Linked DNA regions of Arabidopsis thaliana. The protein of the gene in region 1 interacts with the protein of each later gene in a pairwise test. Each region holds a gene or a part of one and is shown in the gene's direction. Other genes may lie near its edges.

Region 1 (6,850 bases):
ACTATGTAATTGCTTCAGATCAATACTCTTCTATCGTGAATAAATTATCAGCAATTGCAAAGTCAATGAGTTGGATTCTGATTAAATAAAAGAAAGATTATCTTATTGGAAAAACCTGCCTCTCATAAAATCAACTAACAACATATTGACGTTTTCGAAAAATACGATATCTAATTATGGTATCATGTCTTAATCCGACACCGTACTGTATATGCCACGTTTCATCCAAGAACAAGGCATTGATGCCATCGATGGGTCATTGGACCAATTCTTGTTTTATATTTATGCAAATGATTAATATACTACTACTATATTAGTATATTGTTACTTATACTATTTTATATGTCAAATTATATGAGAATGCTAGTGCACCATTCGATGGTCTGATCTTTAATCAAAGCACATTTCGAGATTTACTATGATATAAAAAAAAACATGAGATGACCGCCAATTTTGTTTTGTTAACCAATTTCGTGTTTAAAATTTATGTATATTTTTCAGCAATGTTGTAGTTTTTATTTAAACCATTGAGTTTTGTAAGTGTCACTTTATTGACCGCCATTTTTTGTGAAGAGTTACTTGTGATTGATAATATATGATGGAAAACAATGCAATAGTATAGCTCATAGAATCTGCGTCAAAGATTACCATTAATGGTTGATAGGAGTAGCAAGTAACAACTTATAAAATATTTAATGGACAGAACAATTTAGGAGTAATAATAAATAATAAATGACATGTGATTAAATTTATGTTTAGGTAGCATCCATAAATAGACGACCAGCTAAAAGTCATGCATTGATCTAATCGCATCACTTATTTAATAATACTATACCTACCAAGGACCATAAGAATTGATTACTTCTAATACTGTGTATTAGCTTGTATGGAGTACTGGAGTAGTACTGTGGATCTTCGATCCATATGTCTGAACTGTAGTTTATAAATAAAATGTATTTATATGTTAGTATCAAGAAAAACGACAAAAGAATTCGAGTTGATAAATTGCTTTGGTTAATGGGAGCCAGATCCAAAACTCTAGAAGCACAGATCTAAAATGCTTGTGCATGATTTATTATTGTGTATATATGCCTAAACGAGGATGGAGTAAGTCACACATCCACATGCATGTGTGCAAGTCCTCAAGTAGTGTAAGATATAGATGTATGAATACATTCACCCACACGCGCACACACTACGCAGCGTGTGTAGATGGAAGATATTATGCAACTCTTGTAACATCAAACTTGATTGTATAGATCAAGGATGCGAGAGGCACACCATTACGGCAATACATACACTTCCGCTTTACTAGATTCATTATGAAAATCTTTGAATTGTACCATCATCATTCATATATAGTTGGTGTCAAAAACAAAAACAAATCACAGCTATAGAGTTTGAGTACAAGTGTTACGTATGTATTGATGCCTCATTTATGGGAGTTTTGTTCTCCAATAAATATGTAGCCAACTCAACAAGTCTATTTCCTCGCAAACGACCAAATTCTCATTCAATGATTCAAACTTTAACGCTATCTAAACTGTAACGCATTTCTATTTTATAATAGAAGTCTTCAAATGCTCATTCAATGATCCAAACTTTAACTTCTAGTTTTATACTCCATATTTGTGCAAAATGTATATGATATAATATTACAAGTAGTAGAAGTTTTTTGTTTTAGTAGCTAGTAGTAGAAGATTAAGCAGAGTAAGTTCTCATTAGATGACTTAAGCATACAAATATAGTATTACAAGTAGGGGTTATACACATGACTAAAAATGTTTATAGTTCTTTTTAAATAATTTATGTTTAGCACTAACAAATTCTTATAAAAACTAAAGTTTATTTTCGGGAAATTATGTAAGTAACAAATGACTAATTTGGATCATGATTCGCTCCATATGGGTAGGTTATGGGTACCTTTCTTTTTGCTCCAAGCCCTTTTTCGTAATTTTCTCTTAGCACTTTTAGTTAAAATGATGACATTGAAAAAGGGAATGGCTTGCGGTGTTAGCAATGTCTCCGAGTCTCTCTTTTCTCTTTTTACAACGAAAAACCTTTTTGTAATCTCCAAATTTTCCCTCTCTCTCTCGTTTCGGCGGTTAAGCTGCCATAATCTCTCACCCACCTCAAGCAACATAACCCACAAAAACTCAATCTTTGTTTCTTATCTTCAAAACCCATCTGATCATTCCTCCGGAATCTTTCTCAAGAACAGAGCAAATGCCGCTTGTTAGGCTCCAAGTTAGGAATGTCTACGGTTTAGGGCAAAAAGAGCTTCACACAAAAGTCGACCGTGAAGACCCTAAAGCGATTCTCGACGACGTCGCCGTTTCTGGACTCGTCGGGATCTTGCGTCAACTCGGTGATCTCACAGAGTAAGTAGTACTTTAAGTCAACTCTGTTTCCTCTGTTTCTTTTTTTTTATAATTGACTTATAAATGTTTTTAAAAAAAAAAAAATCTTAAGTAAAAATGTGACAATATGGAGTCAGTGATCTTCTTTGATTCTCTGTAAAATCTTTAATTTTGCTGTGTTTGGTCTTCTTCATTTGCTTATTTTATGGTTCTCAGCCAATCTTACTTGTCCTGAGTTTTTATGTTAAACTCACATTGTTTCAGATTCGCAGCAGAGATATTCCATGGAATACAAGAGGAGGTAATGATAACAGCATCAAGAAGCAACAAATTGAAGATGAGATTGAAGCAAATAGAAGCTAAAGTTCCTACAATCCAAAAGACAGTGCTTGCACAAACAAATCACATTCATTTTGCATACACTGGAGGTTTCTTTTGTCTTGTTTCTCTTGTCAATCTTCTTTAATGTCTAGATTCACATGTTTGTTCTTTAATCAAAAATTTATATCCTGTTGAGTTTATTGTAGGCCCTAGCTCACATGCCTTTTGCACTAACTTCTTAGCTTAAAATACTCTTTTTTGAGTTTAGAATTTGATGATGAATGATACTAGTAGTCTTTCTTATGGATCTTAATTAAATAAGTCATGATCTTTCACTATTTGAGTTCTTTAGAAAATTTAAGTATAGTTAATGAACATAGTGTTTACATGCTGTTTTAGGTCTGGAGTGGCATCCTCGTATACCAAATGTGCAAAATCACTTTATGTATGACGAATTGCCACCGTTTATTATGACTCCATATGAAGATTGCCGGGAACCTCCGCGGTTACACTTGCTTGACAAGTATATACACCTTTTAACTCTCATTTTCTTTTTTGTTATTACTGTTTCTGCTATGTTTTAGACTGATGATAATAAATATGATGCTGATTCTTAGCGGTTTTTGTCAGATTTGATATAAATGGTCCAGGTTCTTGTTTGAAACGATACTCGGATCCTACTCATTTCAAAAGAGCATCAAGAGCTTCTAAACCTTCAGAGATTAAGGTTTGTTTTAGAGATTCAGTCTGTTAATACCATGTTTTGTAGAGTTTCTTCTTTTTCTTGTTTGCTACCTAAACTTGTATGGATGATGCAGAAGAAAAAATCTATACAACGCGGTCGAGATATATCAAGACTTGCCTCTGTGGCTAACCAGAGTGACAGGTAATGACATTTGGATTTGACATTGTAGAGATGTTTTCATATATGACTCAAAACATGAATATATGATATGATGTTCAGGAAGACATGTACTTCTTTAAGCTTCAGTGGACGAACCTCTACCTCTAAAACTGCTTCAACGATTGAAATTGAGTCGAAATCCGACTTGCAAGAGCATCGTTCTTTCTCTTTCGATTCAAGAAGTGGTGGAGAGAAACCGAAGAGGGTATCTTCTTCTTCAAGGTTTACACCGGGTTCTCGCACCATTGCTTCAGTTCTTTCTGAAAGTGAAAGTGAAAGTGATAGTCCTTCTCAAGATTTAACAGCTCGTGGTTCTTCTAGTGTTAGTTGGCACGAGAAAGCTGAGATAGTGGAATGCAATGTTCTGCAGTGTGCAACAGATGAAGCTCCTGAAGTAATGGAAACTAACTTTGTCTTGGATGCTGAACCGGTATCAAGACTTAAAGAACATTCAGCGGTTGAAGCGGTCCAAGATATCAAACCGAAGGAACTGGAAATGGACAATGAGGATGAGACTGAAAGCGAAGGGGATGATTTTGTTGATGCACTTTACACCATCGATTCAGAATCTGAAAATGATGAAGCTTTCCAAGCCACTAAAGAGGTGCAGAAGAATCTTTACAATGATATTACAGAGCAAGAAACAGAGAAGATTTCTAACAACTTTAGTGTTGATGAGACAAAATGTGCTGCTACATCAGAGCTACATTTATCATCATCACCGGTATATAAATCTGATGAACTGATTCATCAAGATCCATGGGCGGCTTCGGAAATAAGTAGTGGCACTCATAGTTATTCCAATGGCTTCTCAAATCCTTTGTATGATATTAGTGGTATCCAAGAACATCAAGAATCAGAAGAAGTTGAGAGTTCTTGTGACACTGAATCCATTAAAACATGGACTAATGGAAATCTCCTAGGACTGAAACCATCGAAACCGAAAATTATAGCAGAAACTATTCCAGAGATTGTTGAAGACATTGATTCTGAAACCTTCCAAGAGCACTTAAGAGAAGATTATAAGGCTCCTTTTGATTGGTTTACTTCATCTCCTCCACTTGATCACATGAAAATATCTTTCAAATCCTCAGAAACCTTGCCAAGTTCTGAACTACAGCTAAAACTTCCAGATGAATATACATTTTCTTCGTTTCAGTTGGTGCCAGAGACTATTGCTACTTCACTTCCTGATTCTGATTCAGACAAGGACACTTTCTGTAGATCTTCTTCTTACATTTCAGACAACAGTGACAATGACAATCGCTCTGTGTCAATGTCTGAGCAACAGTGGGAAGAAGAATCAGAAGGTATCCGAGAAAGCAAGAGGCAACAAGAGCTCTATGATTCGTTTCACAGAGTCAATGCTGAAGCTTCTTCTCTACCAGTTCCATTTCCAAAGATTGAAACAACAAATGGTTGTTTAGTTGAAAATGTCTCTTACCTCCAAAATCCAGCTGAGCCATTACCACCGCCTCTCCCACCGTTACAGTGGATGGTTTCGAAAATACCGTCAGCTGGATTCGAGGATAACAACAAGCAGTCTCTAAAGGATGCTCTCACACAGGCATTTGAGAAGAACAACAATTCTTTAACTGCAGTCAAGAAAAAAGAACCACACATTGTCACTGTTTCTGATCCTAAACTTGTAACCAAGGTATGGAGAATTAAGTTTTCTTCTCCTTTTTACTGTTTTTTTTTTTTCATCTTTTTGGTATAAGGTATTTTATGTGATGGTTGATAGGTACATCTGAAGAACAATGTGAGGGATTATAAGCAAAGTCATGGCAACACAAATGAGACAGAAGCTGGAGACTTCTTGCATCAAATTCGAACTAAAGTGAGTCTTTTATTCTTGCTTTATATTTTAGCTATATAGAAAATTTCTGTGGTATATGAAAATGCATTCCCTATTCTATTAATTCAAAGTAACCTTTATTAAGGAACATATTTACATAATCGATAATTAAAAAAAAAAAAAACTCAAACCCTTAAAACTAAAAATATATACATTTGTTTTCGTATTTCATTTTTGTCCCGGTTCCCTCTTAATCGAAATGGAAATATATTTTGAACATGTTTTTAGTTTCGTTTGTATAGGAATGAAATGGGAGAAATGATTTTTTGATCCTCCAATTCTCATTTCTGTTTCCACAAAGTCATAAAATGCATTTTTCTTAACCAACAACAACCTTTTGAATCATAACAGCAATTCAACTTGAGACGTGTGGTCAGGACAAAGACATCATCATCAGAAACTACAATGAACACCAATATTAGCGTGATTCTAGAGAAGGCAAACTCTATCCGACAGGTTCCATACATTATTCACATTTATAATCTTACGTTTCAGTTTGCAAGTACCATTTTGGTCATTAAAGCACTTACATTTCGGACTTGTTATATCAGGCTGTAGCAAGCGACGATGGAGAAGGCGAAAGCGATACATGGAGCGATAGCGACACATGACAACATCATTCATTTCGGTTCTCATATGTTTATTGTGTAGTAGATATAGGTCGATTTTGTCGTACGTTTATATTTGTATCTTCAACAAAGAGATAAGGTTCTGAAAAATAAAATAATTATAGAATATGTTACGTCTGAATCTCTAGATGATTATTGATAATTAAACAAACAAAAGAACTGAATTAATTATTTTTTTAAACAAATTATTTAGGTATACATTAAAACGTGAGTTGGCAAATATAGGATCTTGGAAAATAATCATTAGTACTATATAAGTACCCGAAGCCCTAAGCCGTGAAATTCGCTGTGTTCTTTAATTTGAGTCAGTACTTGACACACTAGAAAAAAGATTATGTCCTTGTTTGTACACTTCTTTAAATATTTTCACTTTCTATCTGATACAACAAAAGATAAGCATTTTTTATTTTTTTTTGATCAAAGATAAGCATTTGATATGCTTCTTAGTTCTTACAATTTCACGAGAATTATTTTATACATAATGAATTTCGTTATTAAAGTTAAATTTCTTAAACTTTTATGTTCGGAAAAATTATTTCTAAAAGAAAGAGAATCAGAAATTATTTTGATTGGATCACTAGAGCAAAGCAAAATTGGCGAGACAGCCAGATTTACCAAAAAAGATGCAACCACAAACACTAAAAAGTCTAAAATCAAGTGGGTGACTGGGTGGTAGTCTAGTGGCATTTGCGCTTGGGTTTTTTTCAAAGGAGGTTGATTTTGTTCTCCTCTTTGGTTTTTATTTTATCTCTGGAATTCCGGTACGGAATTTTGGAGT
Region 2 (4,061 bases), 4.8 Mb from region 1:
ATTAAAGAGCTAACCAGAAAGGTAAACTATATGATATAACACATGATTATTAAAAATCAGACTCGGATGTTGTTGTTTGTGTTTACATTGTAAACACACATAATTTGCAGATGTAAAATGCAAACGATATTTTTAGTTTCTTCTTCGGTTTGTGTTTGCATTTGCAATTTACAAAAAAATCTGTTCTTTGAGAAAAGATACTAAAGATGTTGTGTTTAAGTTTGAAACGCATTATTAATCAATGTTATCATTTCTAGTTTTCAGGTTCTTATAAGTGTTTTATCTTTTGCAGAGGAATCTTGTTCATCATGAAAACCTCGAATTGTCGAGAAAAGTACAAAGGATTCATCAAGAAAATGTCGAACTATACAAGAAGGTAAAATAGAAACACAAACTTCATTACTTCAAGTTGCAGCTAACAAATCCTTTAAATCAAATTAATCTCCTAGTTGAAACTAGACAAATCTCAATAATTAATTATTGAGATCGTACGTAGTTACAAAAGTGTGTTGTGGTAATGGTCTTGCATACAGGCTTATGGAACGTCGAACACAAATGGATTGGGACATCATGAGCTAGTAGATGCAGTTTATGAATCCCATGCACAGGTTAGGCTGCAGCTAAGCCAGCCTGAGCAGTCCCATTATAAGACATCTTCAAACAGCTAAGATCATATAAGAGATATATAACAAATTGTTCGTTCTTGATTATCTCAAAACCCTTTCAAATATATATACGTGCATATTATATATGAAGACTCGTTTGACTATGTCAATATATATGTTTTCATGCAGGAGTAAGTGTGAGTGTAATCATGTCGGAGAGCAAACCAAAGGTTTGATTTGTACGATATATACTTATATATGGTCTCAAGTGAAAGCAATGGAACAGCTTCTCGATTATATTCTTTTTAGCTTTCACATTTGGTTTTAAGTACATAATTAAGACATACATGAACTACATATATAATATATATTTTAACTAAAAAAATTGAGTGTGATATAGGTTGGTTTAGTATATAAGCTATACTTTACCTAAAGTAAAATCAGAGCTCACTTTTGTGTGTGTGTGTTTGTTTTTGTTAGTCATTGAGATTTTTAATAAAGGGAGATTCATTTGAGATGATTGCTTCTATAGTTTAGAGAAAATTTGCAAAACAAAAAGAGTATACTATATATTGTCGTTTCAGGTAAAACGATGCAAAAAGTCAGCCTAGAAATTAACGAAGTTACATGACCATGACCAACATATGAAAACTGCATTGTTTAACATATCTCTGAAAAGATTATGTTTTTGGTCGTATTAAAATAACAAAAACGAAGTAAAAAAAATCTCAGATGTGAAATCAAACTAAGAGGAGCTAGGAGAAGAAAAATAAACCCTAATTTCCTTGGGATGTAAATTTTCACCGGTCGTACAATATAGGATTTTATGTGATTCAAAATTTTAGTCCAAAAGTAGAGGGTTATAAGTTTCTCGGTTTGAATAAATTAATTTAGTGATTTTGATTTAGCGCTTAAATTTGATTGTAAACACAGTTCACTCTATTATATACTATTGTCCAATATTTTGCATACTGTAATCCACTTTTAACCTACAAAAATATTGATATAATTAGTCCGGTTTACTGCTAATTGAACAACCATTCAAAATTTGATTTGTTGTATAGACAATGAGTTATGCCTCATCAGAAATAATCACAACTTAAAATTATTCTAGTATGATGAAATATGTGTTCTGTTTTGTAAATATTATAGATACAACCTATAAATAGTTATACAAGTTACAACCAATGAGCATACCGAATAATTCACTTGACTTTAAAACAAACGTATCTTGAATTCAAAGATTAAAGATTGGTTGTAATAGTATATATGCACGAAGAACCAAGAATTGCTCAATTTTTAATTGATAGTGACATTTGAATAGAACGAAAAAGATTGAACACTAACTAAGCAATCTACCAAAATATTAAACCAAACCACATAATATCAAATATCTTAAATTATAAAATAGCCCCTATATTTCCTCTTTATCTCATAAAACACCCGTTTCTTCTTCTAATCTTAACTTCTTCTTCATCAATCACACATCATCTAAAAGAAAAACAACCTACGATAAAATTCAGAAACTTTTTCTCTGAGACACCAAAAAAGGAAGGTGACCCTCCTTCTCTAATCGATTGCTTAATCATTTCTGCCGTTGGATTGAATCGAAAAAGGGCGAATTATTTAAAAAGCTTCAGAATTTGAAATCGAAATCTGTGAGTACTGTTGTGTTTGTGGAAGAGAGAGTTTTGGGGTTTAATAATGGCGAAAGCTGGAGGGATCACGAACGCAGTAAACGTAGGAATCGCTGTTCAAGCAGATTGGGAGAATCGAGAATTTATCTCACATATCTCTCTTAATGTTCGTCGTCTCTTCGAATTCCTTGTTCAATTTGGTAAACCTCACTCTCTCACTTATTTCTCTGTGTTGGGTTTTGAATTCAATTGACTAATTTTGGAGTTTTCTCGATTTCGTATTTGCTAAATTTAGAAACTTTGTTTTAGAGTTTTTGTCAAAGTAAGGTTTTTGATGATTGGGAGATTTGATTTTGGTGGTTGGTTAGTGAAAAATTTCACCTTTTTAATTGTTGAGATGATCAGATTTCATTTGCATTTGTATGGTCTTAGATCCATGTGCTAAGAGAGATCTTTGTAATGATCTCTTTGATCTTCTCAGCTTCAATTCTAGCTGGTTTTAGACAATGTTGTGTGTGATGAAACTTTCTTTTATGAGCTAATTTGATTATCGAAGTCATTGATGTCTGTGAGTTTGTAATTTCTCTGTGTGTTTCAGAATCAACCACAAAGAGCAAGTTGGCTTCTTTGAATGAGAAGTTGGATCTGTTGGAACGTCGCTTGGAAATGCTGGAGGTGCAAGTAAGTACCGCGACAGCAAATCCTTCTCTGTTTGCGACGTGAAACACCGTAGACGATATCGAAATCGAAACCGAGCCTGATCCTTTGGCTTTAACAGAAGAAGTCTGTTGTTGAATGTGTACCATTGAATGATTCTTTCTTTCTTCACATAGCTGTGGTAGTAAGTAAACTAGTAGCTTAAAATATGAATCTATTCATAAATATGTGTATCTTTTTTCTGTCCATTAAGATCTCTTTTGAATGACAAGTCATTTCGTTGAACTCTTGAAGTTTTTGCTTTCTTCTGCTGTTGATTTATAAACTTTGCAGAGGTACCCTTTTCATCTTCTATGCATCGGATTTGTATATTCGTCTTTTCTCTTAAAGTGGAACACATGTAAAACGCTCTTGTTGCCCATTTTTTCTTTTTCATCAATGGAGGAAGAAAAAACCGAAAAAGCTCACATCTCTTTTCCTCCATTAGATTCTGTCTGCATTTGTGACTCACATTGTTTTTTTGAGTTCCACTCGGATTCATCGAGACCGACCTAATCGTCTCCACCCGTACGTACTATGAGATCACCCCACGGATGCCTACGATATCCAGGGGTCGCGGACCAACCATAGAACCAAGCCATTGTTGAAAATATTCTGTTTTACGTACCTAAACCACAAAGTTCTGTAGACTATGGATGATTGACCATTTTTAAAAAAATATTCTGAACTCAGTTTTTGTTTTGTCTGAATTGAGATTTGCTGTGTTGACCAAGCTTCCAAGCTTGAAGCTGCAAACAAGAGTGAGAACTGAGAAGTAAACAATGGTACTCTTATTGTCTGTTTTTCTTCCAAGAAGTTAGTTCAGAAGGAAGTAATTCTTCATTGCAACTTAAAACAGCTTTAGACATGAGTTTCCCAAGCCAAGCATGATAGAGTAGTCCCCTTGATCCGAGCCCTGAAAATACCCAGAAGTTGCAAAACTGACCAGCACCTATGAGCTGATTAACACATCCCAAGAGCGGCAGTGATCCATGGCTTGTGACAGGTGGCATTGCTCTCAAGCCCGCCCTTGCTCCCGCAAATTCCCACTTTTCTATGTCTGGATAAACTGCACTTGCTTTCGGAAGAAGCTCGTTGAGAGCTCTTGAAGCTTCCTCTGCTG

The links.
Region 2: the proteins of AT2G34150 (region 1) and BRK1 interact in a two-hybrid assay, tested with the Arabidopsis thaliana proteins (one study listed by BioGRID).

What each region holds. Positions count from the first base shown.
Region 1 is NC_003071.7:14,418,636-14,425,485, reverse strand, and holds AT2G34150 (SCAR family protein), read left to right. Parts: upstream 1-2,014; 5' UTR 2,015-2,226; coding exon 2,227-2,381; intron 2,382-2,624; coding exon 2,625-2,788; intron 2,789-2,794; exon of another isoform or gene 2,795-3,080; coding exon 3,081-3,204; intron 3,205-3,311; coding exon 3,312-3,408; exon of another isoform or gene 3,409-3,439; coding exon of another isoform or gene 3,440-3,499; coding exon 3,500-3,567; intron 3,568-3,645; coding exon 3,646-5,242; intron 5,243-5,329; coding exon 5,330-5,425; intron 5,426-5,794; coding exon 5,795-5,899; intron 5,900-5,994; coding exon 5,995-6,054; 3' UTR 6,055-6,223; downstream 6,224-6,850. UniProt on the Arabidopsis thaliana protein: Involved in regulation of actin and microtubule organization. Part of a WAVE complex that activates the Arp2/3 complex. Regulates trichome branch positioning and expansion.
Region 2 is NC_003071.7:9,620,974-9,625,034, forward strand, and holds BRK1 (BRICK1), read left to right. Parts: upstream 1-2,023; 5' UTR 2,024-2,309; coding exon 2,310-2,442; intron 2,443-2,840; coding exon 2,841-2,965; 3' UTR 2,966-3,362; downstream 3,363-4,061. Other genes in the region: AGL17 (AGAMOUS-like 17), read left to right, coding at 1-21, 293-376, 534-668; AT2G22650 (FAD-dependent oxidoreductase family protein), read right to left, coding at 3,730-4,061. UniProt on the Arabidopsis thaliana protein: Involved in regulation of actin and microtubule organization. Part of a WAVE complex that activates the Arp2/3 complex.